Linked DNA regions of Alligator mississippiensis. The protein of the gene in region 2 binds, or shares a complex with, the protein of the main gene of each other region. Links are inferred from orthologs where the notes say so. Each region holds a gene or a part of one and is shown on either strand. Other genes may lie near its edges.

Region 1 (7,632 bases), on a different chromosome or scaffold from region 2:
TAGTTCATTTTGTGCAAATTAGGCTGAGACATTGGCGATGTGCACCCCCTGGTGGCAGTGCACCCCTTGCAAAAAGGTGCCATCAACACTGCTGGTGGTGCCTGCGGGCAGTCACCGCTCACCCACACCCCGCTGCTGGCGGTAGCGTCTGCAGGCGGTCCATGATTGCTGCTGCCTGCTGCCGGCTGCTTCTGCAGGTGGTCGCTGACCATGGGCCAGCACTCACCACCACCCCAACCACCGCTGCTGTGGCCACCTGTGGGAGCTTCCCATTTGCTTCCACCATGCTTCCACTGCTGACAGTGCCACCGCTGCCTGCAGGAGCCCGCTGTGCCCCCCCAGCCTTCGGGGGCACACGGTGTTCACGGGCTTAGAGAAAACTTAGAACAGTCTATTTAGCTTGATGTTGTCTGGTGTCAAGTAGGATGTTTCATAGTTTCATAGTAGGTAGGGTTGGAAGGGACCTGAGGAGATCATCTAGTCCGACCCCCTGCCGTGGCACGAAAGAGTACTGGGGTCAAACGACCCCAGCCAGATGTTCGTCCAGCCTCCTTCTAAAGACCCCCAGGGTAGGAGCCAGCACCACTTCTTTTGGAAGTTGGTTCCAGGTCCTAGCCGCCCTGACAGTGATATAGCGCTTCCTAATGTCTAGCCTGAAACTACCCTCTGCTACCTTGTGTCCGTTGTTTCTTGCAACTCCCGGGATTGCTCGGAGGAACAGGAACTCTCCCAATGCCTGCTGGTCCCCCTTGACTAGTTTGTAGACTGCCACTTGATCCCCTCTCAGCCTTCTCTTGTGGAGGCTGAACAGGTTCAGGTCCCTCAGCCTCTCCTTGTAGGGCCTGCCCTGCTGACCCCTGATCATGCGGGTGGCCCTCCTTTGGACCCTCTCCATATTGGCCACATCCCTCCTGAAGTGCGGCGCCCAGAACTGGACGCAGTACTCCAGCTGCGGCCTGACCAGCGTTGCATAGAGGGGGAGGATCACCTCCTTGGACCTGCTTGAGATGCATCTTTGGATGCACAACAAGGTATGGTTGGCCTTCCTGACCGCGTCCCCACTTTGTTGGCCCATGTTCATTGTGGCATCAATGATGACTCCAAGATCCTTTTCTGTCTTGACACTGGTGAGAAGGGAGTTCCCCAGCCTGTAGGTGTGCTGCTGGTTCTTCCTCCCCAGGTGCATCACCCTGTACTTCTCAGTGTTGAACCCCATCCTGTTCTCATCGGCCGACCCCTGTAACCTGTCTAGATCTGCTTGCAGCCTATTTCTTCCTACTAGCGTACCCACTTCACTCCACATCTTAGTGTCATCTGCGAATTTGAACAGGGTGCTTTCTACCCCCTTGCCCAAGCCACTGATGAAGATGTTGAATAGTGTGGGTCCAAGGACCGAGCCCTGGGGAACCCCACTGCCCACATCCCTCCAGGTCGAATAAGACCTGTCCACCATCACCCCCTGGGTGCAGCCCTCCAGCCAGTGACCCATCTGACTGTGTAGGCATCAACACCACTGTCTCCTAGTTTCTTACTGAGAATGGGGTGAGAGACCGTGTCGAAGGCCTTCCTGAAGTCCAGAAAGAATATATACACTGCGACACCTGCATCCAAGGACTTGGTGACCTGGTCATAGAAGGCCACCAGGTTGGTTTGACAAGACTGCCCCTAATGAACCCATGCTGGTTGCCCCTGAGCATAACCTCCCCTGCTGGCCTTCCTGGACAGGTGCCAGGATAATTCTTTCGAAAAACTTCCCCAGGACCGAGGTAAGACTCACAGGCCTATAGTTTCCTGGGTCCTCCTTCCTCCCTTTTTTGAAGATGGGGACCACATTGGCCCTTTTCCAGTCCTCTGGCACATTGCCCGAGCGCCATGAGTGCTCATAGAGCTGTGCCAGGGGTCCCGCAACGACCCCTGCTAGTTCCTTCAGCACTGTGGGGTGGAGATCATCAGGACCTGTGGATTTAAATACATCTAGTCCCTCCAGAAGTTCCCTGACAAGGTCCTCATTAACCCTGGGCCTGGGTGTGCCACCCATGGGGCCCTCAGGGGGTGGGGTGGGGGAGCAGTGGAGGAGATATCCGGGTCCCTCCTCAGAAATATGGAGGCAAAGAAATTGTTGAATATGTCAGCTTTACTGTCAGGTGAGATGACCAGATTTCCTAGCGTGTCCTGCAGAGGCCCCACATTCCTTGGCACCTTCTTTTGCCCCCTTATGTATTTGAAAAAGGATTTCTTGTTGTCCTTGATCTGGGTCACTAGTCCCAGCTCCACTTCCGCCTTGGCCTTCCTGACTGCCCCCCTACATTCCCAAGCTACCGAGGTATAGCCCTCTCTTGTGATGGCCCCTCCCTTCCAACAGGTGTACGCCTCCTTTTTTGTTTGAAGACGTTCCCGGATGCTTTTGGTGAGCAAGGGGGGCCTTTGCGCCCTCTTGCCTCCTTTGCTGAATTATGTTTCCTTCTGGTTATGATATTTCATATTTCACAGGAACCTGAGGTGATGGAAACTTCTCCGGGGCAGGAAATTCTCTTGTGCTGAGGCAGCTTGAGCTCTGTGAATATGTAGATTTTGCTGGAACAATGGGCAGGAGCCAGGGTGTCAGCTTTTAGGTTCAGGTGGTGAATTTCCTTCATTCTTGTAAAATTATGAAGTTTTCATTTCAAAAGAAATTACATTTCATTTGAATACTGGACAGGAATCTGTGAGGGTGACACTAAAGACAAGAGATGGTAGGCATTGGTTGACAAGCAAAACTGATGATGTGATGTGACATTACCCCAGAGGCAGTAGAGTTGGCCCCAGCAGCCTTACTTGGAACAGTGCTGGCCCCAGTAGCCTTACCTGGGCTCCTGGGGGCCTCCTAGGGCTGCAGCAGCGGTGATCCTGCCAGGCAGAGCCTGGCTGGCAGTCCAAGTGCAGCTCCGGGAGCCCTGGTTCTGCTTTTCAGTGGTGTGTGCTGCCTGTGTGCGCGCTGCTTTGTTGTTTTTTTCCATGAGTTTTTTTTTTTTTGACCCCTGGATATCTAGGGGTCAAAAACCCCCCAAAGAAACAAACCAAAATACGGAGCAGCACATACACAGGCAGTGTGCCCTTGCAGTGCAGAGGACACCTAACTGTGAGGTATGTGGTGCTGAAGATGTATTTGCAGCATCACATACCACAGTTTTGCTCAACTGAACGTACCCATTGTAAGCACCAGCTACAGATGTTACACTTTTAACGGTATAAGTGATCAGAAACTGGGCTATACTTATTACAGAACAGAAGTTCAGCACACAAAACTTGTCTATACCCGTAACACAGGGGTGGGCAATTATTTAGGGTGGAGGGCAAGCCATTGAAAGCCACATGACAGGCAGCCAGGGGCAGATAAATATTAATTTTCTATGTTTTTTAGGGGCCCTGTGGGCCGGATAGAATGGCCTGGCGGCCACATCCAGCCCAAGGGTCGCATTTTGCCCAAACCTGCCATAACAGAACAGCAGTTCAGCACATGTAGACCGGTTTAAAAATGGTGGAACCCAGTTTAAGATTTGTCCTCCCCAATGAAAGGGCAAATGTGTGGTGTCTAAAATACACCACTTACAGAAACCTGCGTAACTTAGATGGATTCTGCCTCAGGCTTTCTGAATGTCTGTACCGAACCACTGTGTCCAACCTGGCTAGAAATTAGGCTCTAGTGGGCACCTAAAAAATGAGGCTGAACGTTTCCAGCACCACAAAAGCCTGGCTGGGTAGGTGCTCTTGTAGTATAAAAATGCTGAACAAAACAGTTAAAAAAAACACAGGTTGCTGAGCTGAAATACTAGTTGTTCAGTCACACAAGTAAGAATCTTACACAGGGGGCGCACTACCTTTTTGGCTTGTTTACCCATCTGTGGGTCCTACAAACCATGGGAATGATTAGTCCAGGAGTGAGGGGGTGGCTCAGACACAATGCTAGTCAACAACCGCTCTGTAAGAGGCCATCACTGAAATGATCTGGCACTGGCTGCAGGTCCAGGAAGCTTGGGCCTGACGCATGGCTTCCTGCCATCGTTTCCATTTGACACATCTTCAAAGCAAAGGCCTGACAGATGCACCATCATGCCTCAGCAGCCCAGTGCTCAGCCAGTGACACATGCAACACGGACCTGTGGAGGCAAGCACACACGAGGGGCTCACGTGGGGGCATGAGGCGATGGCAAGCACAAAAAGAACTGGCTTGCCCTAGAAACTGCCTAAGTGCCCAGCCACGGGGCAAGCACGCCAGAGGGCAGCGTGTGAATGTGCAGGAGCAGGGGGCACTTAGGACTAGAGGAGAGGGCCTCGCGGTGCCAGGATGCCCATGCGGGGAGGGCTGCGTGTTAATTGCACAGAGGAACCCTGTGCTGGGAATTTGGGCATGAGCATGCCAAGGAGGTACAGAGGGCTGGTGTGAGTGCTCAGGAGTGCAAGGGGGGGTAGGGTGGGCGTGAACAGGCAGGCATGCAAATGAGCATGGGAGTTTACCTCTAGGCTGCGGAAGCCCAAGAGCCCCCTCAAACCAAACCCCGCCCAGCTCCACAGAGACAACAAGCGACTCTTCCTCCCTCCTCTCCTCTTCTCTGCTCAGCCGGGAGAGAGGGGGGGACGACTTAGCGGATGCGCACCCTCCTCCTCACTCCCCCCCACCCCCCGCTGAGCGGACGGCTGGCTAGGGAAACGGCTCTGGTGACAGGCCATTCCGGCCCCGCGCTCAGCCAATGGGCTTCTGCGCACCGCCCCCTGGAGGAGAGGCGCATGCGCAGTGGGAAAGCGCTGGGTTTTCGAACGAGCGGCCGGGCGCGCAGGCTTCAGAGGCGGCGGCCCCGGCACCAGCGCTGGGCGACAGGGCTGTCGGCGACATGGCAGAGGCGCTGGTGAGAGCAGGGGCCGGGGCGGGGGACCCTGAGGCGGCGCCCCATTTCAAACGCCGTGGAGGACGGTTGGGGACGGGGCTCGCGGGTCCTCGCGCCTCCGAGGGGCTGTGCAACGTTGTGAACCGCGCGCGGGGGCCGTGACTGCACTTGCTCGAGGGCGGCGCCGTTGGCCCTTGCGCTCTGCGCCTGCGCGGGTTAAGGCCCTGAAGCGCTGCCCTGCCCCCCTTGTCGAACTGGTCTTGCCCTTGCTGTCGGCCCGCTCTTGCCCCTAGTGCTTCTGTGACTTCGCCCCCCGCCCCCTTCGCTTCGATGCATCTGACTCCTACTGAGCCTGTTGGGACCCCGCACCCTCTGTTCTCTCAGTACTGCTGTTCCAGCCTCTCTTTAATTGTGTTCCGTGTTGCCAGGTGTACGACAATGATCGTATTTGTACGATAGTTTCAAGCCTTGTCTGATCAGTTAGAGGAAAAAGTGTTCAAAATGTAGTTATTCGTGAGGCAGCTTGTTGATGCAGCAGATGGAAAACCCCAGTCACTCTCGGGGAGCCTTAACTGACTTTTGGGTTTGCTGTTAGTACTTTCTTATGATGGCCTGCCTCAAAGTACAGAAACGCTTCACCTTTGATGACCCATTTCTCACTCACTGGTGACTTACAGTGGGCAATATGAAGGAAATAATAAGATGTATTTGCATAATCATTTCATACTTATTTGGACATTCTTTTGGTGCATAATAGTTTTTCAGTAAATACAAAAGCTTTGAGCTTCCAATATGATAACTTTATATTTAAGATCTGACAATGCTGGTTGTGCTTCTGACTGCTCTCCAAGGCATCACCTTGAGCTTGTCTGCGTTGAATGTCCCCCTGAGAGCTTCTGCTCAGTTTTCTGACCCGCTGAGATTCTTTGTGATTTGAAGGCTGTCACAGAAAGCTTGTTGAGCACATTTGTGGCCAGCATGAAACTAGGAAAGGTTGCAAACGTGTTGGAGGACAGGAGCGCGAGTCGGAAGGATCTCAATGGTTGGAAGCTCACAGGACGACAACCTCTTGCAGTCTGAACATAATGCTTTCTTAAAGAGCCTTACTAGTCACAAACCTAAGAATGGCCAGCAGGACTGTATCAACCCACCCCCTAACTCAAACTCTGCCAGCCCTAGCAATTACGTCTCTAGCCCAAACTCCAACCCAGACCTGAGCCCAGAGAGCCCTACTACTCGGCCGTAAGCCTTTTTCACAGTTCCCTTCCAGCTCCATCCCTAATCCTAAATCTAACTGCTACCCCAACCCTAGCCTGAGGGCTCATTAGCTCTAACCGTAAATGCAGCGTGATAATCCGTAATCCTAATCTGGGGCGCACTGTCAGCCCCACCACTAACTACCTCTGGAACCACTTAGCAGTTGCTACCCAGGCCCAGGACAGACCCTGTGGGGCTTCACTTAGAACCTCCTGTCCTTCTGAAGTAGGCTTGTTAATATTTACCCTCTGCTTGTGGCTACTGAGCCAATTATCTATCCACCTTTTAGTAGTTTTGTCCAACACACATTTCTCCAGTTTCTTTGAGAAGTTCATGCAGGACATTGTCAAAAGCTTTGCTGAAGTCCAGATACACTATCCACGGCCTTCCCTTCATCCACCAAAGTAGTTCTTGGCAAGGAAATGCTGCCTGCCAGCCTGTGCTGCAAGGGAGGCATTTTAGACCAGCCTAAGGTTGAATTGCACCCAAGTCTGGTGGTGGGATGCCAGCAAGGTGTTTTCAGCACTCCTGTCTCAGCCAGCAGCTGTGGGGTGACCGCTGGCAAATGCCATGCTGCAGTTATACTGATGGGGCTAGAGCATGATGATGCAACTGCATTTGCTGCACATTAGTTTTTCCTAAACTTCTCTGCCTACACTAGGGGAAGAACAGAGATGACGCCTTGTGAGGAAATAGCCACAATGGCAGGGTGTCAAGTCAAATCTTGATGCAGTGCGTACAGAAAACAAAATGACAATGCTGTGTTCATCATGACTGCCACTTGGCATGAAGGAATTTGCCTCAAGCACCAAAATCTAATGGCTACACAAGCCAAGATGCAAAACAAATAATGTTGAAGACTGTAGAAAAAAAATATCTGACCAAAGCCTTAACATCAGAGCCAGGTATTGGCCAGCCTACTAGAAATTGATGGTCCAATGGCTCCCCTCTTGCATTGCTAAGAAAAGGAGTAGTAGAGAAATCACCAGAGGTCTGGCATTACATAACCCTGCTTGCCAATCAAATACAGATTACAGTTTAATGGGGGCTGTGGGACCATAAGACTACAAATCTAATGCAAAGACCCAGGTCTTATAAAATTTAAAAGCAAAAATTAGCTGTAAGGATGCAGCGGCAGCAGAACTCAACTGCAGAGCATGATCAGAATGATGCATACTAGGAAGGTATGCTAGAGGGAGCTAGCATGCTATTGTGCCCCTCTTAATCTCTTCTTATTTATTAACTTATTAGGTCTCTCTTATCCAAAAGGCTCAGAGCATCTTACAATAAACAAATGACCCACAGGCAGGATTCCCCAAACAGCACCCCAAAACCCAAGAATTTCACTTCCATCTGCAACCACCACTTCCCCGGTTCACTCAGCCTTTCCTTGTATAGTTTATATCCATCTCCTGTCATTGTCATTTGCCTTGGATGCTTTCCAGTTTATATATATCCTCCGTAAAATGTGGAGCCCAGAAATGCACTGAGTATTCCAGTGGAGACCTACTCC
Region 2 (7,688 bases):
GACTCTCTCCCTGTGTCCTGGTGTTTGGACCATGCTGGAAAAATGGCTTCTCCCTTCTTCTTGGACCAGGCCCCTGTATTGCCTTTCTGACCTCAGCAGCCCAGGCCAAGAGAAGCCAGCGGTGTTGGCAACTCGCCAACCGATTTAAAAATCATCACTGGTCACCTGGGCAGAGGAGCAGGGGCTTTTCCCTCCCCCACTCAGGTGACCAGAGAGCCCACATCCTCCAAACCAGGCTTCTGTCATGTAGGCAGGAAGGGAAATCCCCCCTCCTTTAGGAATTTGACCCCAGTGTCCCAAGCTGACCAAGACAGGTCTCTGGAGAGACAGACAGATGCTGGCATTTCTGCCACAGCCAGCACCACTTGAAAAATCCAATATTGCTTTAATTTGGCCTGAAATTAGCAGAGAAAACAATGCATCGCCAAGACTACAGCTCTCCAAGCACCCCCCCACCCCCCAGCTAAAATCATGGGGAAGAAGAGGGACCAGGGCACGGGTAACTATGGAAGAAGGAACTTTGGGGGGAGGGGTTAAGCAGGGATCCCATGGGGCACAGAGCTGGGGAGGGGGCAACTAGGGAGCCTGGGGCAAGGGGGAGCAGGAGCAGCCGTTGTTGCCATCTCCTCTCCCCCTGCCTAAGTCAGGGCCCCGAGATCCATGGTCCCTCTCCCCCACAGGGGGTTCAGGACCTCCCCATAGGGCTCAGCACTCCCCACTGGGGTCAGAGCCCCTCCAGTGGGGCTAGCTCAGACACTCCCAGGGTTGGGGGGGCAGAAACACAGGGCTGGGGGCACCAGGAAGGTTCCAAAACCCCCCTGCCCTGGGGTAGATTTGCGGGGAGGAAACATCTTAGTCCAAATTAAAAGCCCCCAGCTGCCTGCCCTACACAGTGCAGGGCAGGGGAACTGTGGGGTGCCACGGGGTGCCCTGGCTGGAGGGCCATAGAGGTCAGCCCAGGCCCTCATGCAAACCGCGGATGCGCCGGGCCAGCTGCATGTCCTTGGGGAAGAGGGTGACACGCTTGGCGTGGATGGCGCACAGGTACGAGTCCTCCAGCAGGTGCACCAGGAAGGCCTCAGCCGCCTAGCAAGGGGCACAACAGGGGAGGCAGCCATCAGGGGTGGGGCTGGTCCCTGAGGCCCCGCCTCCTGCCCTGACAACCCGCAAAGCCCTGCTCCCAGCCTGGACACACCCCACCTAGGCTCTGTCCCCTACTTGGACCCCACCTGTGGCTCCACCCCCTGCACAGAACCCACCCTGAGGCCCTGCCCCCTGCCCTGATAATGCACAAAACCCTGCCAGGATACCTGCCCCCCACCCCCTGCCCAGATGTCCCACATTTAGCCCAATCCCCACACACAAACAACCCACCAAGCCTCACCCCCTGCCTAGGCAACAGCCTGTGGCCCTGCCCCCTAACCAGACAGACCCCTGCAGCCCTGCCCCCTGCCTGGACACCCCCCACATAGCCCTGCCCCCAGAAAAGACACACCCCAACATACCCCGCCGGTCCATGGGCACCCGCCACAAGCATCGCCCCTGCCCAGGCACCCCCACGGACCCCAGTCACCTCCCCTGCCCTCCACACCCCCCAGGGCCCAGACATGCCCCAGGGGTGCCAGCCCCCACACTCACCTCCTGCAGGGCCAGCAAGGCCATGGCCTGCCAGTGGAAATCCACCCCCCGTGTGTAATTCAGGCAGATTTCCCGCACCTGGGGGGGAAGGGGAGTCAGAAAAGCTGGCGGGGGGCAGGGTTTGGGGGGGGGGGGGGTTAGATAGACCAGGAAGGGGGCAGGAGGATGGAAATCAAACAGGAAGGAGAGGGATGGATGTGGGGGTGTTGATCAGACAGACCAGGAGGAGCAGGAGGCTTTGGGAGGGGGTCAGATAGGCCTGCAGGGAGGAGAGAGGGCTTCAAGCGGGGGTCAGACAGACAATGTCCTGAGTGGGGGCAATGCCGGGGGGGCGCGCACACACGCACCACGCGGGCGAAGGGCAGGCGGCGGATGAGCAGGTCCGTGCTGCGCTGGTACTTGCGGATCTCCAGCAGTGCTCGCTGCCCTGGGCGGTACCGGCGCCGCCGCGGTCCTGAGGGCCCGACCGGGGACGTTAGCGGGGGGCTGGGGGAGCACATACCCCGCAGCCCAGGGAGGGGACACTCACCTGGCAGGGCGCGGCGGGGGGAGCGCCGGGGTGGGGGTGGGGGCGGGGGTGGCGGTGAGGGCGAGGGCGAGGGGCGAGTGGGGCGGCGCCGGGGGGTGGTCTTGCGGGCGCGGGGCCTGGGCATGGCACAGTTGGCACCTGCGGGGGAAGGGAGATGGGGGGTAGAGGGGAGGACCCCGGGGTCCAGGGGCAGCCCCCTCCTCCGAGCCAGGACAGAGCCCGGCGCTCAGCTCCCAGCATCCCTTGCTGTGACCCCACTGTCCTCCCACAGCTGGGAAAGGGACCACGCCTGCCGGCTCCCCCCAGGAGCCCCATATTTGCCCCAGGAGGAACCCACGCCCCCCAACCCTTCCTATGCATTGCAGTGACGTCACTGCCAATCCTTCTGGCGTCACCCGGCTGCCCCATGACATCGCCGCCCCCATGTCTTTCTGACGTCACCTTGCCCCCCCCAACCTCCTAGCTCCTGACGTGAGGCCCCCGCGCGCCCCTCTCCGTGACGTCAGCCCGGTTCGCTCGCGCCCCGCCCGCGCTGGGGGGAGGGAACCACCCGTGCTGCGGCCGCCGAGATTCGAACTTCCCGCCGGGCCCCGCCCCCCTCTTACATCACTTCCGGCGGGGTTCGAATACAGGCGAGCCGGAGGAGGCGGGTGCTTCCGCGGAGGGTGGCCGCGGAGCCGTTCTGCGCTGTGTGGAGGCCCCGACTCGATGGTCCGCCCCTTCTCGTCACCACGGGGCCCGCTCTGCGCCGCGCGGCGGCCTCATCTCTGTGGTGACCCCCGGGGAGGCCTGCGGATTTCCACTGGCAGCCGGGGGCGGGGGGCGCCCCTGGGGGCGGGGCGTGTCTGAGCCCTGTGGGGGCGCGCAGCACCCGCGCGTGCGCACACGCTCCCGCTTTCAAGCCCCCTCGCAGTCTGACGTTCATTCGCGCGCTCACCCCCTCACACCCAGCCACACACACATACACCCCCCAACACTGACACCCCGACACCCCCCCCACACACACGTACCCCCAGTCACAGCCCCCACCCCGCGTGCGCGGCTGCCCCCCAGGCCCGGCGGGCTTGAGGCAGGGGTGGATGGGGCAGGCACAACCCCCCCCCCGCCCCATCGCAGCACCCCCACAGCTCCTGCCCCCTCGCGGCAGCCCCCGCGGGACCCGAGCGACCCCCCAGACCAAGCCAGGACAAGGGCTGGGGCAGGACCCGGGTTTATTATTGCACAGCGGGAGGGGCTGGGCCCGGCGCGAGCGGGGAGGGTGCAGCAGCCCCGGGCCAGGGGCACCGGTGGTCCCGATCCAGGCACCAGCAGGTCCTGATCCAATCCCGGCCGGGGGGTGCAGGCGAGCCCGGCCCTGCGGGGCTCAGACCTTGCAGCCGTTCTGGCCGTACGCCTCCTTGAAGGCGCGGAGCTGGGCGCAGAGGTTGCGATAGGCCGTGGCCTCGCAGCGCCGGTCGTCCGGCAGCTCCTCCACCCACGAGCCCTCCTCCAGCAGGTACCGCAGCCTGGGGGCAGGTCACAGGGGTCACGGGGGGCAGGACACGCTCAGCCCCGCACCCAGCACACCCCGCAGAGCCCCCCGCCGCGTCCCCTCCCTCAAGACCTCCAGGCATGCGGGCTGGGGAGGTTGCAGGGGTCACAGCAAGGCCACAGAGGGGCTACGGGGGGCATAAGACCCGCAGCCCACCCTGCCAAGACCCCCCGACCGCTCCGGCCCCGCAGAGAGAAGTCACGAGGGTCGCCCTTGGGACACTCTGCCTCCACAAAACCCCCTTGCTAAGTGCCCCCTACGCTCCCAGGTGCCCCCCCAAACATCCCACGGTTTGGGGAGGGTAATGGGGTCACGGAAGGAGCACGGTGGTCACGGCATCACAAAGGGGTCGCACCGGGATCAAGGGAGCTGCGGAGGTCTCAGTGGGGTCACAGGGGTGATGGGAGGTCCCCGAGGTGCAGGAGTCCCTCAGTATACCCCACCAAGCCTCCCACCTCACCAAAGTCCTCAGCCCTGCCCCCCGCACTCACTGGCCCTGGGCGTCACGGGTCTCCCCATCCTGCCCCATAAGCAGGTAGCGGCGCCCAGGCGCCAGGCGCAGGCGGCAGGAGGCACGGACCAGGAACCAGCGGCTCTGGCCCACCTGCACTCCCACGTCACCGGCTGTGAGGGAAGGGGGCATCAGACAGGGGCAGGGGAACCCCCTTGCCCCCCCCTCAGTCACCCCAACCCCCTTGCCCCCCCCTCAGTCACCCCAACCCCCTTGCCCCCCCTCAGTCACCCCAACCCCCTTGCCCCCCCTCAGTCACCCCAACCCCCTTGCCCCCCCCCAGTCACCCCAACCCCCTTGCCCCCCCCCTCAAGTTTGTAGTCACAGCCCCCTGGGACTCCCCACCCCTTATGGGGCCACTCTCCCCCCCCTCTCGCCCCCAGCGTCTACAGGCCCCCCAAACTCCTGGGGTCACCCCACTGCTGCCGCCACCCCTGCAGAGTCCCCACCCTAGAGATCCCACGGAGTCAACCCTCCCAGCCCCCTACCCTGGAGTCCCCCCCATTGCCCCACACTCACTGAACTGCAGCGGCTCCAGCACCTTCGTCACATAGGCCCGGAAGCCACTCTGGTCTTCCTCCCTCAGCACCTGCACCTCATACCCTGGGGGGGAAGAGGGGGGGGGGGCAGGGGTCAAGGTCAGGGATCGGGACTAGGACTACCCCACTGGCTTAGGCAGGAGTTAGTGGGGGAGGGGGGGGGGCTTCTGGGAATTGGAGAAGGGCGCAAAAAGATGTTGGGTGGGGGGAGAGGTAAGTAGGGGGTACAGGATGGGGGAGGAGAGATGGGGGGTCCTCAGGGAGCCATAAATATACAGCTCTGAAGGAACTGCCATTGTTCCCTTCCCCACTTGCCCCAGCCACATGCAGCTGCCACCGCCTGCCTATCAGGGCTGATCCAGCCTCTCCTGAAATGCAGGAGAGTGGAAGGGGCTGGATCATGGGGCAAGGAGCATACTTGGGTGTGATCGGGGGGGGGGGTGCAGCTGGGGGTGTCAGGGTGTATGGAGGAGTCGGGGACCCCTGGAGTGGAACCAGCAGGCATAAAACCACTACAGTGTCAGTAAAAAAAATATGTCTGGCAGTAAAAAAAGCAATGTCTTAAATTGTTGACCTTGGGGGTGGGAGGGGCACGGAGACCATGGGGAGAGGGTCTCTAGGACATCCCTGGTGTGTGCATGTGTGGGGGTGGGGCAGGTATTGGAGGTCAAGGGTTCCCTCCAGGCCTCCCCCCACTCCCCTCCCGGCACCCCTCAGGGGTCCAATCTCACCGTACTGCACCCGGGGGCTGTAGCAGGCAAACTCAGTGCGTTCAGCCTCTGTCACTTTGTCATCCAACGTTCGCTTCTTCCGGGAGCAGGCACCTGGTAGGGAGAGGGAGAAAGGGATCAGGACACCTGGGTTCTCTGCCCACTCCAGGAGGAGTTAGGGCTCATGGGGTTGGAGTAGAGGGGGTCAGGCTGCCTGGGTTCTCTCCCCTCTGTGGGAGGGAAATGAGGGTTGGAGAGTTACCGCAGGGAGCCCAGACACCTGGGTTCTCTCCCTGTTGTGAGAGGGGAATGGGGACTGGGGTGATTAGAACAGGAAAGGGGGTACAGAGAGCCCAGACACTTGGGTCTCCTCACCTTCGGCACACTGGCAGACATCATTGGAGCAGAGGGCTGAGATGAACTTGCTCCTACTGGGGGCGTTGTAGAACACGCTGCACTGCCGGCCTGGGGGCAAGAAGTGGGGGGATGGGCTGGTCTCTGGGGCAGCTCCTCTTCCATCCAGCTTCCCCTGACCCCTCCACCCCCCCACTACCCAAGCTCTCCCAGACCCCATCTGCCTGTCCCCCTTCACCCTTGCCCCACTGCAGCCCCCACCTGGCTCATAGAAGTCATAGAGGGTGGCAGCCGCAGGCTGGAGCATCCCCACAGGCACCGTCTGCTGTGCCCGGAACCCCACGCAGTCTCGGACCTCGGGCACCTGGAAGTAGAGGGGTGAACACAGGGTTGGGGGGAGAGCCTCATGACTGACATGGAGGCCCCCAGAGCACATGCCCACTACCAAAGAACCCAGATGTAAAGGGATGCTCCCACCTACTGCCAAAGGACCCAGGTGTTTAGGGAAGCCCACACCTATTGGCAGAGGTCCTAGGCATCTGGAGATGCCCATGCTCTTACTGGCAGAAGACCCAAATGTGTCTGGAAAGCCCACAATGACTGCCAGAGGCCCTAGGCATCCAGGGTGCATGCGAACACTATGTTTATCTCATGCTTAAGGCGCTAATTCTGCGATACATTGTGGCATGTTCAAGCCATTACCCCTGGAAAACAAGCCACTGAAATGGGGATCCAGCCTCAAAAACGTTAGTTGTGAAACAAGGGAAAGGTCTGCAGCTCCTTCATATCACACTTTAGGTGGGAGCAAGGCATGCTACAGCCAGACAGACACCACCCCCAAGATGCTCCTATGCCCATTCTGCCCCCCAAACCCTCCCCCATACCCCTGGAGCTCCCCAACGCCTTTACCCCTCCACAACTCTAACCACAGTTGCCCTTCCCCTGCTCACCGTCTCAAAGTAGAGAAGGAGCCGCTGCCCCTGCACCTCGTAGTGGCTGATGTAGCGGTCAACCAGGTCTTTCAGCTGTGGGGATGGACAGATATACAGATGACTCGTGGAAGAACAGACATGCCTGTTCTTCTCCCCCATGAGGAGAGGAGGTAGGGGTCCCCCCCGGGGGCTGATCAGAAGTGCAGTGGGTGGGAGGGGACAGGGAAGGATCAGGGCCCCTGACCTTGTCCAGATCAGCCGTGTGGGGCTGGAAGCCACTGAGCAGGGTGATGTCAGCGATGGCCATGCCTGAGATCGGGGCCCCTGGCTTCCTCCTGCAATGTGGGGTGGAGAGGCAGAGTGAGAACATGGCAGGAAGTCCTGCCCCCCCCACCCCCAAGGAAGCTACAGGAAGTCCAACCTCCTCCCCAATAGACTAAAGAAGTAACAAGAAGTCCCCTTTCACCCCAGCACAGGCCATGGAAGGAATAAGGGGACTGTGGCTGGGAGCTGCATCTGCCAATGGGGTGAGATAGTAGCTAGAAGACCCATCCCCAGAGCACGTGCACAACAGGAAATACCGCTCCCCAGCAGAAGTCCTGTGTTCGAAAGAGGCAGGCAGAAGGAAGTCCCACCCCCTGAGGCAGTGTAAAACAGGAAGTCCCACCTCTGGAGCACATGCAAAGCAAGAAGTCCCGCCTCGAAGAGAGAAAAGGAAGTCCCACCCCTAGGCACAGAGCTGGGGCAGGAATTCCCCACCACCACAACCACCAAGTAGAGGGTCCTCACTGGATGCATATCGTGTAGTGAACCTCCTTCTCCCTTTGACTGCGGTCAGCTGCGTCTCTCCGGCGCCGGCGCCGGGCATCAAACCAGTGGATAGCGTGGAGGGGGGCATCAGCTGCTGGGGCTTCATCCCCATAGTCATAGTTATACTCATAGTC

Evidence for each region. Proteins that work in one complex are often made in the same cells at the same time.
Region 1: CENPA (region 2) and CENPC share a complex: the UniProt entries of both Homo sapiens proteins name them as parts of the CENPA-NAC complex. The link is inferred for Alligator mississippiensis from reciprocal best matches to the Homo sapiens genes CENPA and CENPC.

The regions. Positions count from the first base shown.
Region 1 is NC_081825.1:133,224,123-133,231,754, forward strand, and holds the start of CENPC (centromere protein C), read left to right. Parts: upstream 1-4,626; coding exon 4,627-4,883; intron 4,884-7,632. UniProt on the Homo sapiens protein: Component of the CENPA-NAC (nucleosome-associated) complex, a complex that plays a central role in assembly of kinetochore proteins, mitotic progression and chromosome segregation.
Region 2 is NC_081834.1:62,718,296-62,725,983, reverse strand, and holds CENPA (histone H3-like centromeric protein A), read right to left. Parts: upstream 3,006-7,688; 5' UTR 2,773-3,005; intron 2,763-2,772; exon of another isoform or gene 2,609-2,762; intron 2,306-2,608; 5' UTR 2,292-2,305; coding exon 2,168-2,291; intron 2,093-2,167; coding exon 1,986-2,092; intron 1,717-1,985; coding exon 1,639-1,716; intron 1,087-1,638; coding exon 952-1,086; 3' UTR 366-951; downstream 1-365. Other genes in the region: complement C4, read right to left, coding at 3,531-3,672, 4,190-4,322, 4,729-4,812, 5,480-5,572, 5,834-5,923, 6,074-6,176, 6,763-6,837, 6,989-7,079 and 1 more. UniProt on the Homo sapiens protein: Histone H3-like nucleosomal protein that is specifically found in centromeric nucleosomes. Replaces conventional H3 in the nucleosome core of centromeric chromatin that serves as an assembly site for the inner kinetochore.